Linked DNA regions of Oreochromis niloticus. The protein of the gene in region 2 interacts with the protein of the main gene of each other region in a biochemical or structural test. Links are inferred from orthologs where the notes say so. Each region holds a gene or a part of one and is shown on either strand. Other genes may lie near its edges. The genes, in order: mitfb and lef1.

The links.
Region 1: the proteins of lef1 (region 2) and mitfb form a complex in vitro, tested with the Homo sapiens proteins (2 studies listed by BioGRID). The link is inferred for Oreochromis niloticus from reciprocal best matches to the Homo sapiens genes LEF1 and MITF.

The regions. Positions count from the first base shown.
Region 1 is NC_031984.2:11,676,258-11,689,007, forward strand, and holds the start of mitfb (melanocyte inducing transcription factor b), read left to right. Parts: upstream 1-7,138; 5' UTR 7,139-7,283; coding exon 7,284-7,387; intron 7,388-7,597; exon of another isoform or gene 7,598-7,717; intron 7,718-12,750. UniProt on the Homo sapiens protein: Transcription factor that acts as a master regulator of melanocyte survival and differentiation as well as melanosome biogenesis.
Region 2 is NC_031971.2:18,069,434-18,082,183, reverse strand, and holds the start of lef1 (lymphoid enhancer-binding factor 1), read right to left. Parts: upstream 6,836-12,750; 5' UTR 5,461-6,835; coding exon 5,260-5,460; intron 3,251-5,259; coding exon 3,184-3,250; intron 2,000-3,183; coding exon 1,872-1,999; intron 1-1,871. UniProt on the Homo sapiens protein: Transcription factor that binds DNA in a sequence-specific manner. Participates in the Wnt signaling pathway. Activates transcription of target genes in the presence of CTNNB1 and EP300.

The DNA.
Region 1 (12,750 bases), on a different chromosome or scaffold from region 2:
GTTCAAAATGCACAAACCCCACCAACTTTGGTGATAAACGACACAGGATTTCCTCTTCAGCAAATAGGAAAAGCAACAAAGCTTCATGTGTGTCATACAGACACAACCATTACAACAACAATTCCTGTTTACACTGCTTGAAGCTTTAAATACGCCCATACACGCATCTCTTCCTTCACCTCTGACATAGCATCTGCAGGTCAATGTCAAGTTTAGCTGTACTTATCTTCCAGCCACAGTGTTTGAGTCAAAAGAAGAAAAAAGTTCAAAGGTAACATGGAGGCGTCAAGGAAGATATCTTGGCTTATACTTGAACTTAAACTGTAGCAAACCGTCTATTGTCCTTGTTAATCCATGCTAAATTTTCTCCTTGTAGCACATGTGCAGGAGAATAGATAATTATACATGAGAAAACCAAATAATGATAACTGCTTTGGTCAAGCATGATTTGCTGCTGTTCTGGGTAAAATGATGATTCATCCAGGATTTTTTTAAGTCACACTCCCTAAATCAGTGTGCTATAGGTTACTGCATGATGCATTCATTCAGTCCAGCGGCCAATAAATTACTCTATTAAACTTAAACATGCATCTAACGATCTCATTTCACATCGTCTTATCCTCTACAATCAGCAGCCTATATGGCCCATAGTACCCAATAATGAGACAAGCCCACCGGGCCAGTTTCCTCTATGCAGGGAGAACAATGAATGTGCTACTGTAGGCTACTGTACATGGGTGGTTTCCACCTGAGCCCCATGATTAGCTTAATGTGTCAAAAAAGGGAAAAAACTACACCCTCTTTTACTGAGGAAACACACCAGTCGCGGCTGAGAGCCAAACCCATGCTGTTGTAATTTTCATTGATGCTCCATCCTCACATCACATGCAGGCATGACTCAGTCTACTTTTGTCTCCTCACAGCTCATTGACGCTGGTTCAATCTGCCCCACCGCACCACATATCGCCTTACCTTTGCACTCCTTATATCCTGCTTTTGGTATTGATAACGTCAGGCTTCCCCTGCATATTGATCAGCTTCGTTCAGCTTTCTCCACGGCCGCTTTTACCAGGGAGGAGAGCCGCCGTGCAGCCGCTGTCCATGTTCATCCTCCGGTACTAGGATACTGTAGCGCACACACACACGCCTCGTATCGAGCCACACTTACCACGCCTTCACCCGCCGGCTATTATGTGAACAAGCCCAGCATCTCCACCCTCCCTCCCTTGCTCTGCCCCCCTCCTTCCCTCTCATCCAGCAGATGCCGGCCGGCCTGCTTCACACTGGATCCCCATAACAATGAAGAGCAACCGGGAGACTGGCTTTCTGTTGCATCTTCAAGAACCCTTTAAATTTATGCTTGATTTCATATCATGAAAACCCTAATAAACACACAGTGTTCTACATAGATATGTGTTTATATTTTGTCGTGGTAGCCCTTAAATAAAATAATCTTCGAACATCTTCGAATTTTTATCTTGAAAATTTCTGTATTCTTCACAGGCGGAAGTATATTGTTCACTCGGCGGTAAGTTCAGATAGGTCCTATTTTATCAAATTGTCCAATTCTCATTAGTTATTGTCAACACCTTCTTGAGATCGATCAAAAAAATACACAGTGCGACTAGCAAGTCTTTACTGATACATATACATCAATAATATGATCAATAAAATGAACAAAATCAAAACCAACACCAAAAGAAATTGTAATAAACCATTCACCAGTAACTATTTTAGTTATGTTTCAAGCTTGATTTATCCTTTTTAAATAGATTTACTATAAATGTTTCACTGAATATATGACTGGATATATTTTTTCCCTTTACTTGCCATATTCAGGGTCACTTCTTGATAAAGATCAGTTTGATATTTAAGTGCTTTGACATCAAACATACTTACAGCTGTTCCATACACCACAAGTTGATCTTAGTCTTAAAAATATTCACAGAAGCAAATTTTTTTGTAATATAAGTGTTCAGCGCTTCACACATCTTGGACCTGTGTAACATAGAAGACACAGGACTGCTCAACCAGATTGTTGGTGTGTGTTTCACATGTGCTATTCATTTCTGTTCCGGAGTGACGATGCCCCTAAAATATTCATTACTGCCTTTACTCTGGCTCATCTGGTAATTCTTCAAAGGAAACAGGCACCAAAGTCACATACAGCATTCAGTTTTCTCACAGGAATCTCATTGACATAAACTAACAAATTGTTGTTTGGTTTGGGTTTGTTTTTTGTTTTATTTTGTTTGGTTTTTTTTCATTGACCTTAGACCCCTAGCAAAAAACAAAAACACTAGTGTCACTGCAGTCTGCTGTAAATGCCGTTGCCTGCCAGCATGGCGAGGTATTCCCACCCCCACCCCCATGCTCTTGGATTTCTGACATCAGACATGAATAAGTATCTCATTAAGATCCCCCAAAACCATCTGCCCAATGAGTCTCCTCCTTACAGGAAAAATGCTCTCATAAACAAAAGAGTAGGATTCCCTCATTACCCTCGTTACCCTCATTAGAAATTATTCTATCATCACTGGCAAGCTGTGGTTTTAATTTATTCCAGGAATGGGCATACTTATTAAGACAGCATGTCTCCACTTTTTATAATCGGATTTCGCAATTCAGTTAATAAACCCCCAAAATACTCATTAAAACTGCTCACAGGAAGTATTCTCCAAGTTATCACTCTTCATCAATTTCATTGAACAATGAAAACACAATATTTACTTAAGGGGTGTGCATCAAATTTTATGCACAACTAACTGTGTTTAACTGCCATTCAGTTTTTCATAAAGTCCTGGAGAAATGCAGCATCACTGATAAAGTATGACTTTCTTGAAGCTCATTAAACCAAAACAGCTATTTTTGTACTCTCAAATGCTGTTTTGACGCATGTGCTGGATAGTGTTTTGTTTTGCTGATGTTCGACCTGAGCTCTACCTTTGAGACTGCTGACAATCACATTATGTGTAACAGGCTGAAATGCTGGATGGTTACATGGGGGTGTCCTGATGCATGCTAAATCATGCAGGAAAGGAAATTCCAGAAAGTTGATTCTGTTCATCTGGACGTTACATTTTCAGTGGGAGAAAAGTTTCGACACTTGGACGCGGAATGAAAATCTTCTTTCTGAGAGTGTATAGAGGTCTGCTTCGGTGAGACTGTCTTCAAATCTGTCAAGTTAATCTTTCCCTGTAGCTGCTTCCAAGCTACAAGGTTCTGTTTTGGGGTCTTTACTGTTTCTGTTATAGCTCTGCTTTCTTCACCATATGTCTACCAGTGTTAAGGACATTGCTTATCTATGCTATGCAGATGACATTGGGTTATATATCTCTGTTATGCACAAAGATTTTTCTAAGTTACAGATCTTGCATGGGTGCTTAGACTACTAAGCAACTTGAAAAGTTGAATGGCTGACAACTTTCTCCAAAAAATGAAGCCCTTGTTTGTGCCCCTGACCGATTTGTGCCTAAGGTAGTGAAAGCTCTCCTCGCCCCTTTTGGTAAATCTTCTATCAGGAATCTTGGGGTAACTTTTTAACTGTGGATGCTCATGTTAAGTCTCTGGTTTGCTCTTGCCTTTATCACTTAAGAAGTATTGCCAAGCTGAGTTTCACTGTGTCACCCGCTTATTTGGAAAATGTTACTTATGCCTTTATTTCGTCACACCCGGATTATTGTAATTCACTGCTCACTTGTCTTAACAAAGTTTCCTTTGAATGTTTGCCGGTTATTCAGAATGCCGCTGCGAGGCATCTGACTAAGTCTTCTAAGTACTCACATGCCACACCATTGATAATTCAGTTTCACTGGCTTCCTGTCTGCTCTAGGATTCTGCTTGTGACTTTTAGAGAGCTGCATGGACAAGGACTGGCATAAGTCAGTGAATCTTTACATCCACAGATTCCCACCAGGTCCTTGAGGTCATGTGATCAGGGCTTGGTAGCTGGGCTTCATATAAGACCGAGATCTAAAGGAGTTAGAGCTGTTGCAGCAGTCCCCCACAGACTCTGGAACTCTCTCCCACTGAACTGTGGACTCTTTTAAAAAGCAGCTAAAATGTATCTTTTTAAACTTTTGTTTTTATGTTCTGTCATTTATGTTGTGAAGCACTTTGTTATATTTATATTGAAAGGTGACATATACACAAGCTTTTACTTACTATTTAAAAAAAAACCCTGTCTATCTGAAACACAAATAAACATTCTTATAATAAATAATAATACTTAGTTTATTATTTGGGCTAATCCGACATTTGTTATGGTACTTAATTTGCTAAAATGAGTCCTGGTTTCTTGGATTGGTGTGTTTTTCAACAGACAAGCTGATCAGCAGCTGATAGTCATCCTTACTAGAGCAACCGGACACCTTCGGCTCATATTCCGCGATGTTGTTTGGCAAACGGTTGCAAGTCACTGATGACTGGATGGCAGACTTCAAGTTAAAAGCCGTGACTGAAAACAAAGGTAAACCAGAGTGTTTTTTCATACCTGAGCCGTTATCGATGACCTCCACTGCAGTTCATGTTATTTTATATGGTAGAAATGTTTGTACTGGCTGCCTTTCCAATCTGCACATCCTTGAGTAAATAATAGTGTGTTAGTCTTTGAATAGTTATCCCTGTGTTCACTTATCTCAGGGCACATAGCCAGGATGATGCAAGATATGTGGGTTGTTTTAAAGAAGTTTGTAACTGATACCAAAGTATTCATATTGTCTCCAAGTACCAGGGTTTGAAGATGTTATTGGCATTACAAAACAATGTGTATATTCAGATATTCAAATATTAAACAAATATTATTAACAAATCAGTCCTGAACTCAAATTTAAGTGAAGTAGAATTTTTTTTATGTATGCCCAGCTAAATGAAGCTGAAGCTGAAGATTAAGAGTTCAGCTAAACATATAAATTGTGAAGGTTTTCAATTTATAATAATTTTATTTCAACAATTGACCAGATATTTGTCTATGCAAACTTTGTTTTCGCTATAGGTAGAAAAATGGGAAGCCATAAAACACTATATTTTTCTGCAAAATGAAAAAAGAAATCATTAAATGCACAACTGCCACAAAAGTTTATGAGGTGTGTAAGTATTTATTTACAAACCGTTTCTGCCAAAAAGAGATATAGCACTGACACTTGGATAACTTGGAAAACATGAACACAAACATTGGTTTTCTACCTAAGGGCACTGAATCAAGTTTATTTACTAATGTGCTGACACTGATGATCTGTGCAGGGTGCATGCTGTCTTTCACCCAACATACTGTGGTCCCCCTCTGTTATACAATGGCTGGAAGGGTGGATGGCTCGCTGGATGGATGGGTTGATGGGTGGATGGCTGGTGAGCAGGCTTTTGCACTGGCATTAAAACTAAGAATTTTGGACTCTTCTGACACAGTGATTTTTTTTCTTCTCATATTCAGGTCCTTAAATTTATATTTTCTTGCTTTATTGAAGAATATTAATTTATGTGTTATAATTTGCAAAATCAGCATATTCTTATAGGTATTTAAGAAATGATGTTTCAAAGATAGAAAGATCACTGTGCTAAGAATCGTTTTCTAAATAAATTGACTTCAAAACTACTTTTATTTAAAATATATCTTAAAAATATATATCTGGAAGTAAGTACAAAGGCTGTAGTAGTCTACAAATGTTACAGGTCTAATGCAGTTGGGGGGGCTGGGTAATCAGTACCTCAATTCACCCAAGTACCACATCACAAGTAATTTATCTGTATATTGTAGATCGGATTCTCTGGAGCTCCTGTGTCATGTCATTTGGCTGGATGTATGTGAGTCTTCTTCTCCTGTGTGTCTCAGAAATAGTATTGCAGAAATACAGAAGAAAAAAAACACATTCTGATCCCATTTCTCATTCTGTTCAGCTATCATCGTTTTATTTAAGGCTTTATTTTTAGCCTCCGGGTATGTGCTTTCCAGCAGAATCATATTTGCATTCTATTTGCATTGGTAAAATACAGACTTTAAACCAGTTCAACAGGATGAGGGTGAATGCAAATATTGAACTACCTCTAAATTTCCATTTTATAATAGAGGGTGCCCCCCACACCCCCGCGGGCTCACGAAACTGTTTTCTAGCTCTATACTCCCACCAAGTGGTAGACAAGACTTCAACTGAGGAGACCAAAGTTGGTGTGCTGAGAACAGCGCGTGGGTGAGAGTAGGAGACGAGCGGTCAGTCAGTCTGCACAGGGAAACGGGGAAAAACAGAGACATGAGGCTCGTCTTGAGGTTGGTCTAAAGTCGGGTGCAATATCTGCATGACCCAATAAGAGACTTGAAGTCTAAATATCAAGGTTGCGAATGATCTGCAATGTAAGAAGTGCCGTTATTTATGTTTTTATTTAGATTTTCTGAACAGTTTCTGTGCGATTGCTTCCAGATTTACTCATTTAACTGACTGTTACATCCAGTGTTTGGTTTTTTTTGTTGTTGTTGTTGTTTTTATTATCAGAAACACACAGTCTGATTCTTACTTACTTCAAGGTCACTCTGGGCATGTGTGCTTTAAAGGCTTTAAAACAACTCACTAGATATTGTTTTTATTTTTATTTGCAAACAATGTAGTTATGCTTTCGCAAACTTGCTTGAACAGCATGCCCAGGTCACAAAGGCTGGATTTTTATTTTTTATTTTTATTTTTATTTTTATTTATTTTTTATTTTTATTTATTTATTTATTTTGCGGGTGGTGGGCATGGTGTAAAATATAAAATAATTCATTTTTATTGTGATAGCAAATTAACGCACTCCATTATTTTTAACCAATATTAAATGTATCTGCATTCAGGCAAAATGTGGAGACCATTTCTTTGAATGCAAAATCTAAGAATGCAAACACGCACGGCCACTGGAGCAGACGCTACTAATTCAAAATAACTCTTTACAGCCAATTATTGCGAAATCCACACTGCTGAATAAATATTGCTTATGGAAATGAAACTCTGACATTTCAGTTTCACTAGTCGAGCAAAAAAAAAAAAAGGGTTGTGTAAAAATCCCCTCGGATACTGCAGCCAATCAGAATTGTGCTGACATTTACATCCCCGGAGCATTTTGGTAGTTGTAGTTTCTGGATTATTTGGAGCCCGTTGGCTGCACTTTAGCCGCTGCCGCGAAGGACTACAGAGCTCCGGGTCCTGGGCAGAGGCGGCTTGCGTTGACGGTTGGTACTGTGCGGAGTACTGGGGCACGAATATCACCCGTCTGTTTTTTTAAAGAGGGTTTAGCGTCTCCAAAAGTTGACATCTGCAAGTATGCAGTCGGAATCGGGAATAGTTCCTGACTTCGAGGTCGGAGAGGATTTTCAAGAGGAGCCTAAAACGTATTACGAATTGAAGAGTCAGCCCTTGAAAAACAGGTCAGTTCTTTTGCCGTGGACAGTTATTTCTCACGCTGGAGCGGTTTTTGGGGTTAAGGTGATAATTAGGCTGCAGACTTTTTAAAGTGTTGTCCAAAGTCTATGAATGTGCGGGGCTTTCTCATTGATGTTACTGAAGCTGGTCCCGGTGTACCTCGTTCCTTATGGTCATCCTGCTTGCATGAAGTTATGCAACACATGGGTGTTGTCTTGTCAACATCAACTTCAAATATTAGCTCACAGAGGAGCAGACAGGTCAGAGTTTAGTAAGGTGATGCTCAGCCTGTCTTGTGTTGATGGCTGATATTCAGGTTCTCCAAAAGCAGAATGGTGAGTTATTGTTATTTATTAGATTTTTCTTTAAATCCCCCGAGAATTACCTCTTTTTTAAGTATCACTGCATAACAACATGTGTGGTAAAAGTGCCATAAGTCTACTATGGCACTACACCTTGTGCATTAACAGCTTTGAAGTGTCAAAAGTGTGTAAGAAAGTATTAACTATTAGATAAGCTGTAGTAAAATAAATAAAAAAATCAAACCTGATGTTTCTTTCAGTGGAGGAGTGTAGCCTTCTTTACAAGCTCACAGTTAATATTAAATGCTCTAAAGTTGTTTAAACCAATAAAATAAATCAGCAACCCAAGAGGCAGACAAAATTTAGTTTTCAGCAAGTTGATGGCCTATTAAGAAGTTGTAAAACTTAAGTGCATGTAGTACTGGACAAAGTGCTCCAAGTCCTGACAACAGTTCATTCTTGTAAGGACACAGAACAGAAACAAAAAACAGCTTGCAGCACTGACGTTTACTAATTTAGTTTCAGCTTTGACACACTGAGGCCTCAGAAACATTTAGCTGAGTCAGATCTATGTGGTGTGATTTCACCTTTCACCCTATTTCTGGAAGTAATGCACAGCAAGTTTGATGTCTTATACATATGTCTTATACATGTGTTTAATGCAATGAAATGACAGATTTCCTGTCAACAGTGTAGCATATCAAAACAATATTGAGAAACTTTAGAAGATGCCCTTTTTTGCTTTCTTACAATTTTCACTCTTACTAAGAGTGAAAATTGATCCCAGAGGTGGGAAATATGTAGCAAAATCTATGAGATGACTGGAAGGTGAACTTAAATTTGTTTTGTTTTAATGTTTTATGGGAACATGTTTTTTGTTCTTATTCTAAACACCTTCTCATTTAGAAAAAAAACAGCGTTACATCTTGTTTCGACTGACAGTGAACTGTACTATTCTCAAAACTTAGTTGGTGTGATTGATTCAATTTAAATTAAGTAAGAAAACATGTAACAACCACATGTTACATACACACATTTTTTTCATTGTAATTTATGATTGCACCTCTATGGGTGATTTCAAGTCACAATGAAATATTGTTGGGGTGTAATATAAGTCGTAAGTTATAACATTTTCATGCCCCCTCTGTGATGAGGATGGTGATGACGATTATGCATCTATTACCAGGATGGTGTCAGAGTTTTTGTATTTTGTGTCTGCTCCTCTCTGTTACGTAGTTTAGAGGTGGTGATACATGGCCTCATTGTCAGGGCGAGACATCCAGAGGACAGTACGCCACTGTGTTCGGACAGAGCTCTTGCTGCAGACGTTCGCTAGACTCCAGTTATTTATTTATTTTTCTTTCCTCTCGTTCTTGATATTTTCTTGCAGATTTGCGGTTTGTCTCGTTTTCTCTAAATTCAATCAAAACAACAGTTAGAAGAACTGTTAGAGGAAGAACTGTCATCTTGGACAGTCTTAGCCTTTAGCCTAGTTCTGCATTTTTTAAACTAATGTCTTCAATTTTTTCATTAGTGAAATGTCATTACACTGTTATACATCCTTGGCCTGAATCTGAGGCTGTGTTGTTTTTGTTGCTGGTGTAGCAGCAGCAGCAGCAGCAGCAGCCATTCCAAGTATACGCGAAGTATCAGCACGGTTTGTGAATCATTGCTGTTTGTTTTTCTTTATGTCATTTTTCTCCTGAATGTGTGAAGTCGTCTGAACCGTGGCTTTGATTGAAGGTATCCCACTTCCCCTTTCTATCACATGAAGATGACCCAGCATAATAAATAGTCACGATGACTGTGCCATAAGACAGTTTTATGCAAAATGGTTATAATTAGTTTGATTGATTACTGAGTTGTCTGATGTCTTCTAATAGCTGCTTAAGAAGTATCTAAATTTGAAGTTTTGTGTGCGACAAAATGTCATCTTAGCTTTCATAGATCTATTTGTTTTCTGGCTGTCTGCGCATCAGTTTGACAGAACACACAGACTGCTGCTGACGTCGTGCCAACCTTTTTGTGCCTAATATAGATGTGAGACAGGCGGCGAAACTAGTCTTCTATGCAGTGTAAATAAGCTATATAAATTTAGCAGGGAATGTGTTATATCAGAAACTGTGAGTCGAGGGATCTTTTTTTTTTGCACCCTCAGTCAATGCAGAGGCTGAAAGTTTTGCGTTCTAATGAACAGGCTCGATTATGAACATAGCTTATATTAAATCCATATGGATGAATAAATATTCAAATGTCTTACACAGAAAGATCCCCGGCCAGTAAAGATTAGCAGATGCTAGGCAGAAGGAACCAAACAAACAAATGTGTTGCATTTACATCAGCCTTACAATGAAATTTTCTTGTTGCTTAATTAACGTGTTTCTGTAACAATTTAGGCCAGAATTATCACTTTTAACATTTAATGCCATACATACATCTTTCAGCCACAACATTAAAACCCCTACTTGTTTTAAGCCACAAAAACAGCTGTGGCCCATTGGAGCACAGACATTGGGGGTATTCTGTGGTATTATGAACCTTTTTATTGGCAGACCCTTTGGTCGTGTGGGTTGTGGGACTGGGTTTTTGCAGATGGAGCTTCGAGCTTTTTGTCATTTGGGATCTTGGCGTGGAATTATGTATCAAAGTTACACCCGCATGAATCCTGGATCCCAAGGTTTTCTGGCAAAATTGCAATTGCTAACAAGATTGTCAGTGTTAATCATTTCATTCGTTGTTTTTAGTGCATCTCTATCTGTTTAAATATAAAGACTTCCTCAAAAGCTTTCTTCAAATCATACAAAGCTGAAAATAAAGAATTGAATGACTATGAAAACTTGACAATGGGACTTGGTTTATGTTGCTCAGTAAATATCTGTTTCAATAGCTCGCAATGGGTCTTTGTGGGTCGGGTCTACACTTCGGGTTCTCTCTCTTGGATCTTGGCCTGAGGGGTAAAAACATGAATGGAACTCAAAGTCTCCTGAAAAAACTTTCTTCTACACACCTGAAAATAAAGAAGAATCAGATTTAAGTCAGCAAAAACTGAATCATAAATTAGACCAAAAAGACAAAGACTGCGGTCAAAACTTTTAATGCCGTAAAACTCTGTTTACTTTTTTACTTTTTTTTGGTTTTGGTAAAGAAGAAATTATAATGAACCTTAGGGCACTTTACATAATAATGATAGCTGAGAAAAGAAAATAACCTCAGGCTTACTCTTAATGCACACTCCTTACAGGCATGTTTGGATGATGATGGGTCTTGAATGTGGATGGAGTTCTTTGGAAGAGACATTTTACTTTACCTAAAAATGACAAGGACGCGGAGAAATACAGAAGAAATATTGTAGTTTTCACAACTTATTAGTGTCTAACAATCAAATGAGCATCTTGGTCATTTGTAGTAATATTTTGGTATGAAAATAAACCTTTCAAATTAAAATAAGAGAGATGGAAAGGGGATTTAGTAAAATGATCGGGATATCCAAATATCAATTTAAGTTCTTCTGCAATAGAACTGAAGTACAGAATAGGTATTTAAGGTCAAAGCAATGAGCCAGTGGTCGTGAGCTGAGTCAGAGTTTGAGGGATATGAAACTATGTGTCCAGAGCAGCTTGTTCCCACGGGGTGTCCTAGACAGAGATGCCAAAGAGGTTCATCCATGATCTAAGAAAGACCGAGGGGCTTAAGTGACACAGACAGGTGTTGAGGCTGGAGTAAAATACAGTCAGAACAACTTGTCCTGTAATCATGGTTATTTTTCTGCATTCTAACCTCTTATGTGGCTTCTCAAGCACATCTGCTTAAGATTTCTTCATAAAGAATGAAAAAAATAAAATAAAGAAAAAATTATAAACTCTACATCTTTTATTTACTGATTGATTTGCGTTTGCAGTGTTAATATTCCTGACTTGTGATCTTTGTCTGCCTCTGTTGGTGCCCAGAAGGAACTGCAATAATAAAAGAGGCCTTTGAGTGTGGCTTTTATTGACACAAGTAATTATTCTTAACAGTTAAAAAAGAAAAAGTAGCCTTCAGGCATGATCATGTCTAAAGCCTTCAACTAGATGATTTGTTATTGATTAGTGCAGAATTAATTCATTGTTTACTCAATAAAATACAAGAAGAACCAGAACTAGTGAATCTTTGGCACGTTCGCTTAAAAAATGACTAAAATGACTCATTAACTATTTAAGCAGTAAGTTGTTATTACAAGTATATATAGAAGTTATAACAAGTAATTACTAGCATGCATTAGCTGTTGAAAAAAATACCCTTCACTGTTAAACAGCTAAAACAAATACCTTTACACGGTGACTTAATTATTAAATTTTAACTTGTGGTTAAGACGCACATAATTGCGTACAGTTATTTTTTTTCAGAGTCATATTTTACAGCAACGAAACATTACCATGGTTCATTTCCGAAGAAAGAATGTGTTGATTGTCTGTTATCACCTTCAAAGAAAGCCGAGGATAAATCAGTCTCAGAATGAAAAGCTGTTATGTTGTGCTTGCACATCGTTGTTATATCAATGAACTTGAAAATCTTCTGCACTCATTCAACCTGCTGTAAGGAAACGTATCAAAGGCTCCTCCTTACTGTCCTTGGAAGCTCTACTTACTCTTTGTTAAAGCGCACAGGAAAGAGAGGGAGCTGCAGCTAGAGCAGGCCATCCTGCCGAACACAAGTGAGGGGAATTACAAAGAGCACAGAGCCTAATTACAGAAATAAGACCCAGCAAGTTCTAGTTATCCCATCCAGTCCTGGCTTCCTGGAAGCATATTGCAAAGTACCTGATTTGCTTTTTAGATGCTTTTACGACTGACCCTGTTTTGTTGTGCTTTTGTACTTGAGTGTGAAATAATTATGTACAATTTTTATTTTAACAGTTCTTTATGGAATAGCAATTGTTTTGTAGACCATTGTTTTTTTTGTTTTGTTTTTTAAAAAAAAGGCTATTATAGCAACAGTCAGTGACAGTTGATGCTTTACTAGAGGTCAGGATATCTGTGAGTCACGACATTAAAACCATGTACCTAATAATGCGTAGGGCCCCTCCA
Region 2 (12,750 bases):
GACAAGACTGAAGCTGGCTGCAGAGACGTGAGCAGACCAGGGCCAGACCGGACAGCTGCTCGTGGGCCTGTGTTTTATGTCTGTCTTGAGGAGAAATTTGCAAACGGGACAGACACAGGAAGCCGCCAGTCAGAGACCTGCAGCTGGCCTGAAATTAATACCGTCACAGGGGCGATATCTGCAACACACGCCACCCCTAACACGGTACTATAAGCTCTTCTGCAGGGTAGCCCCAGAGACGTGATTTTGGCTCCCTCAGTTCTGCTGGGCTAATTAGAGGGTTTACTTGGGTCATGTAGGCATGCATCACTTCAGATTTTAACAAGATGAGAAATGGTGTACATCTCACAGAGACCTTTTCGCAATGTATGGCTGGCGTTTGGTTTTCAGTGGTCACGTATAGCTGTCAAGGGGGCGGATATCAGCACGACACAACGGCGAGACAAATATCAAACATCACACACACTGAAAGGGAATATTTTTGTGGGGTTATTCTGATGATGAAATAAGGTTTATGCCTCTAACGAGAAAGCCGAGAAATCTGATTTTTTCCTTAAATCCTCTTAATCGACTCTTGGAAGTATTCTGGGCTGAGCTGAATTTTTAGCAGGAATTATTTTCTCGCAACTAAATGGTTTAAAAAAAAAAAAAAAAAAAAAAAAAAAAATTCAAAGCCACCAATCAGATCACTCTGTAAAATGATTTACCTGCTGATATCCAACTCTGAGTCAATTTTACCCAAAAGCTTAAAGAGGGATATCTCTGTAATAAATCTTTAAACGTTCCCTGAGAGACACCACGAAAAGCGTCCCACATTGGCAAAGGATCTTTTATTTATCTCACAAAGAGCAGCAAATATCTTTTTAGTTGTGTTGATACGTCTCCTAAATTTAACACAAGCGAAAACTCAGAGACCACAGATTTCACCTAATCGACAATATGAAGTTCTGAATTTGCAGTGGTTAAAAACAGAAACCAGCAGTCACAGCTACAAAAAGATCAATGAGGTTATTTTTAGCTGATACATCATAAATGGTAAATACTAAAAAAAAAAAGGTCCTGAAAACTCTAATCTTGTTCTAAGGTGACACTTTTGATTAAGTCTTGCACTCCTCAACAAGCGTCTGACACATAAATTTGATTTATTTCTGGGATCACTGTGAAAATGTCATGAGTAAAAAAAACAAAACAAAACAAAACAACTACAACAGCAACCAAAAAAACAGCATGTCCCGCTGCCTCTTGGTTACCTTTTGACAGTCTGCGGGTAGGTAAAGCAATAGCTCCTTCAGTCTGACCACACTCTTTGCTACATTAGCAGGATATGTGACATTACTATAACTTAATTTCAGTTTTGCTTTTTAGTTTCTCTTGTCAGGAGAAATTTTGTCCCGAGCCTGGACTAAATCTGAGCAGGTGCAAAGTCAGCAGTTAAATCTCTGCTGGTGTTTTAAAGTTACCCATCATGTTTGTTTTTGCCTTCCTTCCCACTAGCACTAATTAATTAAACAGAAGTTCCAAACCATTATTAACATCTACTATCATTTAACAGTAGTAAAAAAAAAAAACTAAACAAAAAAAAACCCAAAAGCTTTAACCCATCCAAAAAAAACGAATTTCTCTCTAAAAACACCCTGCTTTTGTATTCATTTCATCACTCAGGACTGTCAATTATTTACTTTTCTCATAACTAAATAATTTTTTATATTCTTACGACGTAAAATTAGAAAATTACTCTTTGTCTCACTGGCAAATGATATGCCGACTAACACGCCTCAAGCTTAAGTTTGCATTTCACATCATGAAATAATACAAGTTAAACTGCAATACTGACTTGTGGAGAGGAAAAAAAAAAAAAAGCTGGTACTGACCGTTCTGGGCATGGGCGGCGAGAGGGAGCCATTGTTCATGTAGGAATCAGTGTTCATGTTGCTCATCATGATGTAACCTGGGTAGCCCGGGTACGGATGGCCTTTACTGTACATGTCTTGATGCTTTCCTAATAAAAACATTTAAAAAAAAAACAAACAGAGTAAACGTGTGTCGGTCGCTGTGTTTTTGCACAGAGAGCACAAACACCAGTAAAAGATTAATTAGCCAAAGATTCAATAGCTTTAATTACAGTCATATCTTCGAAATGGCTGATTTTAATCAACAAACTCGATAAGCAGCAACAACAAAGCCGAGCACAAAGTTGGCCTGGCTGTTTTGATGTAGTAATGATATCGCTGTCGATTGATTTAACCCCTGCCCTATTTTGCCACGGCCTTTTGTTTGTGCCTTTTCTTTCCGCCTCACAGAGGCGGGTCATATTATGCAGCGGAACAATGGAGCCCCTCTGTGCCAATTAGCACCAATTAGAAGAACATACAGACTGTGTCAAAACAGGAGACGCCCCAACTGTTCCTCTATGCCTTTGACCTGAGAGGGGGGGGGAAGCTTTGCACAAGAGGCTTCAATACAGCATCACTCGCCACTCGAATGTGCGCGGCGTAATAAGGCCTGGAGGGGCTGGGGCTGTTTCTGGTATACAATGCGACAGCAACATAGATCTTGTTGTGAAGAAAGCCAGTGTTTGATTTGAAGGGGATCCTATTCAGGAGTGAAAGGGGAACAAAGAGGAGGCATACTCCTCTTCAAAGCCCTAATAATGACCCGCAGCAGCGGGGTCAGACTACAATAGCCAGAGAGCAACAAGCCCCAAGAGGCCGCAACATGTTGCATGCGACAATGCAACCGGAGAGCTGAGGGATACGACGGAAATATTTGAGGAAACACGACACGAAACATCCAGACAAAAGTTTTGCTTTTGGGTTGTGCTCAACTTGAGGCTGCTGCCATAAGTGCATATTTTTGCTCCTTTTTCTTTGATGTCCATTTGTGCAGGTACCCTCATCTACGAGGGAGGTAACAGGTAGCTGTGTTTATGAAGGTACAGCATGCCCTGACTAGACTTGGGATGAGCAGGAACAGGGGCTCTGATAAGAGAAGTACCAACAGTTTCATCACTTCTGCGTGGTGAAAACGAGGGGCCACTACTTCCACCTTATCTTCTAAAGCAAAAGCAAACCATGTTTCAAAAGGAAAAAGAAAAAAAAAAAAGGACTTTTATTGCAAATAAATGTAGCGCTGATTGTCCTATAACACATGCTGATTTAACAAGCTCCAGATTGTGTCTCTTACCATCTTCCGGATGGTCTCTGTGTTTTTCATGATATGAATCTTGTGGTATTTGGGACTGTCTAGCTGCCTGTAAAAAAAGAAAGAAAGAAAATAAAAAGAGAGAGAGAGGGAGGGAGAGAGAGAGGGAGAGAGAGAGAGAGAGGGGAAAAAAGAAGAAGAATCAATTAGAAAGGCATCCAAACACAGTTACACACATGCTGATGTGGTCAGACAGCCACAAACATTGCTGGGACAAACATCGTCCCTTTGCCTGTCACCAAAGGAGAGAAAGCTTACAGACAGACAGACAGACACACACACACACACACACACACACCACTATCTATAGAAGAGTGATGGAGCAGCCTGCATCAAAGCTTCAGAAGAACCACTTAATTAAGCTTCATGTCCTTAAGGAGCTTACAAATTAACTTGTTTTCAGTACCATAGGTCCACTCTCATTTTCATCTCCCAGTCTGAGCCTCCTTCTAAATTCAAATAGTGTGTTTCTGTCATAAATGAAATGGCTGTGTGCAAAGTGAAATAAAATCGCTCCATAAAAAAACGAAAAGGGAAACAGTGCAGACTATTTTCTGCTTATGAAAAAATGAAAGAAAAAAAAAATCCTCTGCACTTTGAACACCCATTTCCTTTCTCTTTTCGAATCCGAATTGGGAAGGGGACCTCTTTTTTAGAGTTCAGACCCCTCAGGATGGCTTCAAGCTGAGCGAGGGAACTTCACTAGATTCCTAATTAACATTCAGCCTCTGTCTCGTGTGTCCCTAGGACATTCGGCGGGGAATGCGTACAGTTTCGTTCAGGATGTAGCCATGTAGAATTTTTTTTAAATCAGAAAAGAAAGAAAGAAAGAAAATGGATTAACACCACAGTTAATGGCAAAACAGCCAACTTAAATGATGGGGATGCTGCAGCCTGCATCCTGAGGTAGGCTTGATGGATGCGGGGGGAAAAAAGAAGTCACTGATGGTTCACGCTCTGTCACTTCTCCCCTGCTTAGAAAAAAAAAAGCCATCTTGCAAGTGCGATATATAAAGCACGACTGCAATAATTTTTAATCATTAAAAATTAATCTCGAAGAATTTTTCCACTGAGATTTTCAATCCATTTAACATTCACCACAAATTCAGCACATCCACACATGCAAGGATTTCTTCTCATGCACCCATCTGGCCTCTCAGCATCCTTTCAGTTTAATCAAATGGAACAAAGCAAATGCAGAAAAATCTTTATTATACAACTCACCCCCCCCCAATTCCAACCTTAAAAACTGAAAAGAATAATTTATAGTCACAGTTTAAAAGAGGCAATAAAAATAATGAGCAGAATAAGCCGGAGTGTGTGAAGATCAGATCTTGAAAACGAAATAAAAGACCGCATCCTTTCATCCAGGCAGAATTTTAAAAATTGTGAATGTTAAGGAAATTCACAGTATTGCTGGCAAACAGGTTTTAAGCCATGTGTGCTAAATGGATTCATGTGCTGGTGTTTAAGCTGCTGAGGGTGTACCACAGCCAGCACAGCCACCGAGCCCTGCTTGTCACAGGCAGCTTCACAAGGCCCCAGTTCTCACATCTCATACAATATCTTTTGCATTTAGCTCAATCTGCAATTTCATTCATTTAGAGAAAAATACAACTGTAATAGAACATTACAATTTAGGCCTGCACTGATTACAGTGGATAGACTGCTGAGTGTTGGCCTGTGACATTTATAGGAGCATCTTTTTTTTCTAGTTTAAGGAATCATAGCCATATCAGTGGCACAGCTCAAGTTACATTTTCAATTAAAAGGAAAATAAAATGGAAATCGTAAATTAATAATGATAATAAATAATAAAGCTCTAAAAACGATTCGTCTATAAAACTAAGCAAAGGGAGAGGAGGCGTTTTCGCGCACAAGACATTCAGGTAAACCAAAGCTCAGTAAAAAACTATACTATTAATTAGAGGAGATCAACTTTTGTTTTAAAGGCTCCTGCGGGCTTTTTATTTCTATTTTTATTAACCTTCCCTCTCTGTTGGGGAGCTCTCAGTAGATGCCCACCACCACATCAGTGAACCCACAGCAGTTACTCACGTCGTGGCTGTTGCTGTTGGGGCTGCTTTCCGACTCGTTGACCAGAGATGACTTGATGTCTGCCAGGTCCCCTTCCTCTTCCGAGTGGCTCAGCTCGGCGAAGATCTGCTCCTTCTGCGGGTCCCCCTCGTCTTTGAACGGGATCATTTCATCTGTGGCGCAAAGCTCCGGGTCTCCGCCGCCGCCTGATAACTGGGGCATTTTTTCACAAAGTGTTTCGCTTCCCCGAGAAAACCGAAGACAACAACGCGTGCCACCACTGTCCCGAAACTACACAGAGATAGAGAGGGGGAAAGATGAAAAAGGAAAAAAAAAAAAAAACCTCCCACCGAAACGGAGTGGGAACCGTTGCCTTCCCCCCCTCCACCTCCTCCCCTGTGTCACACCGGAGAGTCACCCGGAGAGGAAGCGGCGTGTGAGCACGCTGCCGGTGTGTTTTTACTGAAGCAACAGGAGGCGCGAGGCTGCTGCCGGCGTCCTTTTGTTGTTGTTTTTTCCCCTCTTTTCTGCTCTTTTTCCGTCACGAGAGTTTAACTACAAAGCTTGAAACTCACACACTAAAAAAAGTGAGATGCAAAGGGGTCGGAATGAGAAGTCCAGTGCACGCCTCAATGTCATGAGGAAAACATAAAAAGGGGGAACAAACCACGAGTTAAAATCTCATCACCATCTTTTTTCCTCCCCTCTCGCTTTCTTTCTTTTTTTCTGTTTGAAGTCAGCACGCGACGACCGCCGCGTTCCCGTAAAAACGACTCAACGTGAAAAAGTACATTTAGAAAAGTGAGAGAAGATATTTCCTCGGTGGTCCCGGAGACGAAGCTGCGAGCGTCCTTCAGCGTGCGTGTGGAGAGGTTGGAGGGAGGGGGAAAGTAAGACGAGGAAAAGGAAAAAAATTAAGTGATGGATGCGTAACTGGAAGAAAACGCAGTTGTTGTTGGGGGTTTTTTAAACAAGCAAATACTTGGGCGACAAGCAACGCAGCGAGACGCCGTGATGCTTAAAAATACATCCTCGAAGCTGCTCGGATGAGGAGGGATAAAAGCAAAAACCAAAAAAAGAAGAAGAAGAAAATCACAGAAAACAATCAAAAAAAGAAGGCAAGAGTGGAAAAACGCCGTGGACCCGACTTCCCACTGCTCCCGCACCGCTTCCACAGCGTAATGTAACCAGTGTGTGTATGTGTGTGTTGGTAATGTAGCCGTGCTCCCTCCTCCTCCTCCTTTTTCTCTCTCTTCAGTCACTGGGAAGAAAGAGAGATGAAAGGGAAGCCGAGGCTCTGATTGACACCGCACCGATTGACACTCCTCCTGAGAGAGAGATTTATACACAGCTCACAACAAATGGGCAGACAGGAGGGGAGGAAAAGGAGAATGAGCGGAGAGGCTGGAACTTGCTGTGTATATGATGGGTTAAAAATAATGAGGAGAAATAAAAAATGATAATTGAAATATAGAGGGAAAAATATTGGACAAGCTTAAGCCTGTTTTGTTGGTGCTGGAGATGTGATTTAATAAATCTGCAAGAAGTGGCAATGGCCTGTTTTGGAAACAGAAACAAAAAAATAATAAGCTGAGGGAAGTTTAGAGGAAGAAAAACACACAAAGTATGCTCCAAGTGTTAGGAAAAATAAAAAATTATATATATATATATATATATATATATATATATATATATATATATATATCAGGTGTATGTCTATAAAGGGACATAGGCCTGTTATTTATTCAGCTCCCTTTAAACTACCTTGCGGTATACCGTGGGCATATTTGTGGCTACATGGTGCTTTCCGTGTTTTCTACTTACATCAAACAAACAAGAACGTATTCAGAAAGTCTTCGCCCCCAAAAATGGCCAGGTTAAAAGAAAATGTCATATTGTACTCACAGGTTACCTGCCTATATTTAAAGTCCCTTTTGCATATTAATTCATTATTAGCACATGCGCATTGAAATTAACAAAAATATAGAAAACACCAGCGATTGGTCTGTTTGCTACTTTTACCACTGAAAAAAACCGTATATATCAAGCTGCAGACGAGCGGAAGAATATTTATAAGAAAAAAAAAAGAGTACTTTAATGCCGATGTATTTAATGAGAACATACAGTTGTTGCTTTGTTGTTTTAAGAAAAAGGAAAGTAAACAAAACAGGCAGTGGAAGTGGCTGAGTTTCAGCGTCTGTCTGAGCACTAAGAGATTGCGTGAGAATCAAAGTTGGGATGGGGAGGCAGATCTTTATAAAGCGCGGAGGTGGGTTAGCGGGGCGGAGCCGCGGCTGCCTTTGATCTTGCGGCGGCTGGCTCTTTCATCCCCGACTCCCCCACCACCCCGCGCTTCCACCGCCACCTCCCTCCCTCTCTCCCTTCCTCCCTCTTCCACCCCCATCCCCTCCTCCCCCTCCTGCTCTCCCTTGCCTTTGTATGACTAAATTTGGTCTGAGTGTGGAGTCGGGCCAACATTTCCACGTGTGCGTTCATCCCAGCTGAGAGTGAGAGAGAGAGAGAGAGAAGGGGTTCTCTTCCGGGTAAGGAGACAGCGAGGAAAAAAAAAGATCAAAGGCTTTTGGGTTTTGGAAGCCGAGTGTGGATTCAAAAGAGCCGAGACTGGCTGCATTCCAGAGTATAGCGGAAAGCGCGCTGCTGCTGCTGCCGCCGCACGCGCGACGCGCGTACGCACACACATTCACGCACAAGTAGGCTACGCACGACCGCAGCACACGCACACTAACACGCGCACAAAAACACAGCAGTGAAAAAGAGAGTTAATTAGAAAGATTTCACACAGGCAGACAAGAACAAGCAAAGCTTTCATTTACAAGACCCTTTAACAGTATTTTTTCTTGTTTCCAGCCAAAAACTGTGATAGCCTACAAGGTAGAAAAAAAAAGAAGAAATCTTCCCCTCTCTGTAGGAACTGTCGGTTCTACTTCATTACATTGTATTTAATTTAATTATCCGGCACTATTTTTTTTTCCTGGCGCGATCTCAAATGATGCTACAGCACCACCAACACCCTAAAGCCATGCTAACAGAAGCAACCTAACCGTTTTTACACTTGTATAAATATATTTTTCTTTTTTTCTCTTTCCTGCATGTGTTCTGCATTCACCTTGGATATGGTTTTAAATGATAAAATTGGTAGAAAGGGAAAAATCTGGGAAGAGGAGGGGGCGACTTTTGGTTGCATTAAGGCCTATTAAGATACTAAAAAAGAGAGAGTACAGGCCTGCAGGGCCTCTGAAGTGGAAAGATCCCACAGTGTTTAAAAAAAAGGAAACAGATTAAATATAAATCACAAGCATAAATGACTCATGTTTATTCTTTGGTTTTTGGTTTATTGGCATTCAAATACGTGATAAAATGCAACATATAAACCTTAATCCTAATGCTCTGTTTTCAGCATCAGTGAGACACAGTAGGCCCCAGTTTAACAGTCTAAAAACACACTCAACAGATTCATACTTTATGTTTCCCATTTGATTACAATTATATACAAACATGATTTAAACTGATTGAAGTGTGGATTTAATGCACACTTTGGTGCCAGTGCCAGGTGTAAGACTGGCAGGGAGATGGTGACAGTTCTTCACAGCAAAACTCTTCCCAAAGAATAAATAAATTTTTGTATATTAAGATGTGATTATAGCCTATGCAATGTGTAAAATGCATAAAACAAACAATTATATAAAACCATAACAATGCTTAACTTTTTTTTACTCAAAAGGTCTCTTGCAAAGGGTAATTCTGACCTTCTTAAACTAAATGTGCGAATAAACAGAGACAATCAGCAATAGATCAAAGATTTTTAGGGAGATAATTTCTTTACTTTTCTTTCTAAAATGATTTTTGCATATACAGCACAGCATCTGTGGAACCCTTATCAGCGAGCAGATAAATCAGCAACAAAGCAGTCCAGACCAAGAAGACATTTACTATGATTGAAGATAAATTAACACTAATAAGAAAAACTAATAATATCTGCACAATTGAATCACGAAAATAAAACAGATTTTTCCATCATGACAGACTAAAAAAAATTTAAAATAAAATTATGAAACATAGTGGATCAGTGACAGAAGTAGTTATGGAAAAATAAAAAACATTTATCAGTAAAACAATTGAATGCCAACTATCAAATACCTGTGTATATTTTTATGTTATATTGTTATTGCAGATGTTTCATAATGCTACATATTAGCTTAGTTTGGCCTCAGCTGAATTGTGTTTCCAGCTGGGTTTGGATTTTTTTTGTTTATTGTAATTTAATATTCTGGTCTTGGAAAGAAAGCTAGTTTGTGAAAGCCATGAGTGAGGGAGAGATTCATTATTAAATACCCTTTGCTACATGATGAGAGACCACTGCAGGAAGTCCATCTTCCTGATTAGCAACCCTGAGAGGAGAGGTTATTTGTTCACTGGGTGATATATATATATATATATACATACACAACAAACAAATAACATACAGCTTTTGTTTGCTGTGTAATAATTCTAGTTTGGGACTTGATGACAAGGCAACCAGCGACAGCCTCTCTAATGAACTGCTGTCAGAACCACCTAACACACCTTCCCTTGACATGAAACTGCATTATATATTCCAGCTTGGCTCTATGCATCACGGCCCTCGTTGTTAAAACAAGCAGGAAAGTTGAAGTGGGAAGAAAAGAGAGAGAGAAGGAAGAAGGGGAGGAAAAAAACAGAGCTACATTAGCATTTCTCTCCTAATGAGTTCATAAGAGTGACCCCTCTGGATCTCACATGAAAAGGAAGATTTCCTGCAGCGCTGTGACCTGAATTCAGTTGTCTCTCACTTTAGATACTCAATTTTGCATGTTATATAAAAGAAGAAATGTATCTATACACACGGCATAATTCATCACCAGCGGATTCTGATTTCTTTTCTCCCTCCTTTAAGACTGGTAGTCTATCTCAAGGAAGAAATAAATATTTTAATGGTCTGCACATTGTGGTAAGACCCAAAGTGTTGATGAACTTAATAATGCATATTTAGCTTATTTTGTTTTATATGATGTTTTTCCTCCTCTTGTAAAGTTGGGACAGGATCTCGGTTTCGCATACAGTATGAATCGTGTCAAACAAAATGCTCTTTGTTGGAACAACATTCAGTCAAGGTCCTCTTTAGATCTATTATTGTCTCATCTTTTATCTGTTCTATTTTCATTGCGATGCATAACACTTCAAACAAAAATTACCCTAATTATCTCTTGTTCCCACACTGTGCTGTGTATGTGTGCTGTGTCTGTGTGTGTGAAATCAGCCTAGTCGGTGTTATCATTTGTCCTTATCAGTTACTTAAATGACTTGCCGGGTGATTTCAGTGCTGAAATCATTACTCTGCCTTCTATTCCACCTGCTAGTCACACATAACAACTTCCTTCATGTAAAAAAAAAATTACAGCCCTTGCACTCGCAGCCACCTTCAAGAAAACGACAGGAAACAAACATTAAATTATGATGAAAAGGGCTTGCAATTAAAGCCGAGAAAAGACACCATTTATCAAACGTGCAAATCAAAACTGGGGGAGGTCCGGGTTGAGTGATTATTGGTTCAGCCCTTTGATTGGTGGAAGATGAGTCACCTTCTTGAAGGGAAGGAAAGTGTCTTGGGGGTAAGGTGAAGGAAGTGAGAGGCAGGCCTGTGATCTGTTGATTTATGGCAATGTTGTCAGAAGTTTGTCTCAGACAAACTGTCATTAAAATGAAATTATCTCCTTGATGGAAAGGAAGGGGAATTTGTCAGGTTATGTAGATGTATTTTGTTTTGAAGCTTCAATTTTAGAACTGTGGCTGTTGCTGTCTTAGTTGTTTGTTTTGGGGTTTTTTTTGTTTGTTTTGTTTGATCGGGGGGCCAGCAGGATGTTAGGTTTATTTCTCTGGCCACAAAAAGATTTACGGTTGTGTTTTTTTTTTTCCTTTTTATTTTTGTAGTGAGAAAAAGCTTCTTGGCACACTTACCATGTCACTGTAAACATTTTCCTGATGACTTTAATGAGTTTCATTGTTAATTTCATGTCATATTGAATATGAAAGCTTGTTGATTATAAGCTTGGCAATGATAATCTTCCTTATTAATGGGGGTATGCTCATTGGCTAACAAATCATGATTGACAGGTCGTTAGCCATTGATCAGCCCTGTGTGGTTGGTTTCACAAAGCTAGCATGGTGCAAACGTTCAGCTTAGGGTCTGACTAACCAGTGGGTGATGTCACACTATTTTTATCTTTTATATACAGTCTATGTTTTTTTTAAAAGCCAGAAGTGAGTATATTTGGACATGTGTTATTAGCTATATACTGTGTGGATTCATTGCAAAGACAAGTACTCGTACATTTTACTTTAAAAAAATAAAAGTGAAATTGTAGACTTGCTAAAACACAAAATTCTTAGGTGGGGTTTCAAATTAAACATACAGATCGATGAGCCAAGAGTTACCAACACGATAAACGCCGTTGTGACTTGAAATAATTGAGGTGAAGCCAAGCAGAGAGCTTGTCATGAGCAGGGAAGCTCACACACTTCCGGGGAAGTCTCAAGTGGGAATCTGAAGAACTGCCGGCTTCTTATTTTTAGCCCTGAAGGATGCGGCTTAACGTGTCCAAAATGTTTGCATGCTAACATTTGTTACTCTGAGTGCTATAGCCGAAACATAACACTGACCTGATAAAGGCTAAAAATGATACAACGCGTTATTTCTGCCTTTACTGCCTCTTACAAATTACCAATGCACAGACTCCCCTATTGTCTTACTGGCAGAGATAAAAACTGATTCACACCAACTGGCATGTGACTCCACCCTCCCATACTCACCAGTCAGTGATGCTGACAGAAGCACTGTGCACAACTTCTCAGAGAAAGGAACAGTTTAGGGATCACCTTTCCTCTGGGACTTGACTCACATTCTCCAAGCTTCAAAAAGCGGAGCGCTTGCATGCCGCCATGAATCACTGGACAACACTGAACAAACACGCACATGCACAGACAGAATCTCTATTTTGTCTCTGGCAGTCCTCACTGACGCAGCACACGGCATGTGCACATAATGCAGCTAGACTCAAAGGTGCTACCTCACTGCAGCCAAGAGAGTAATCCTCTAGGGCATATAACATAACAGGCAGTCTTTCTTCTCTCTGTGTGCACATGCAGCCCTGTCGCGCTATCGCACCTGAGGGCTAATTTACAGGTTAACACTTGGCTGACCCATGTGTCTTGAAGAAAACCGTTGGGTGAGGGTTTTTACCTGCACACTTCACCCAGCTGGGAATGCCACCTTCTCTCCAATGAACTCTCAGTTTGCAGGAATCTTTAGAAATCTGCTTAGCTTGCCTGTTGGCACCCGCAGCTTTTGTTTAACTTGGTATGTGCAGTATGAATCAGCTATGCCACTATAAGGTTTTTGGATCTTATTTTTTAATCAGCTTTTTTCTAAGTGAAGGTTTCCTTCAGTTACACTCTGAAAGGGAAAGGTCTAGACTG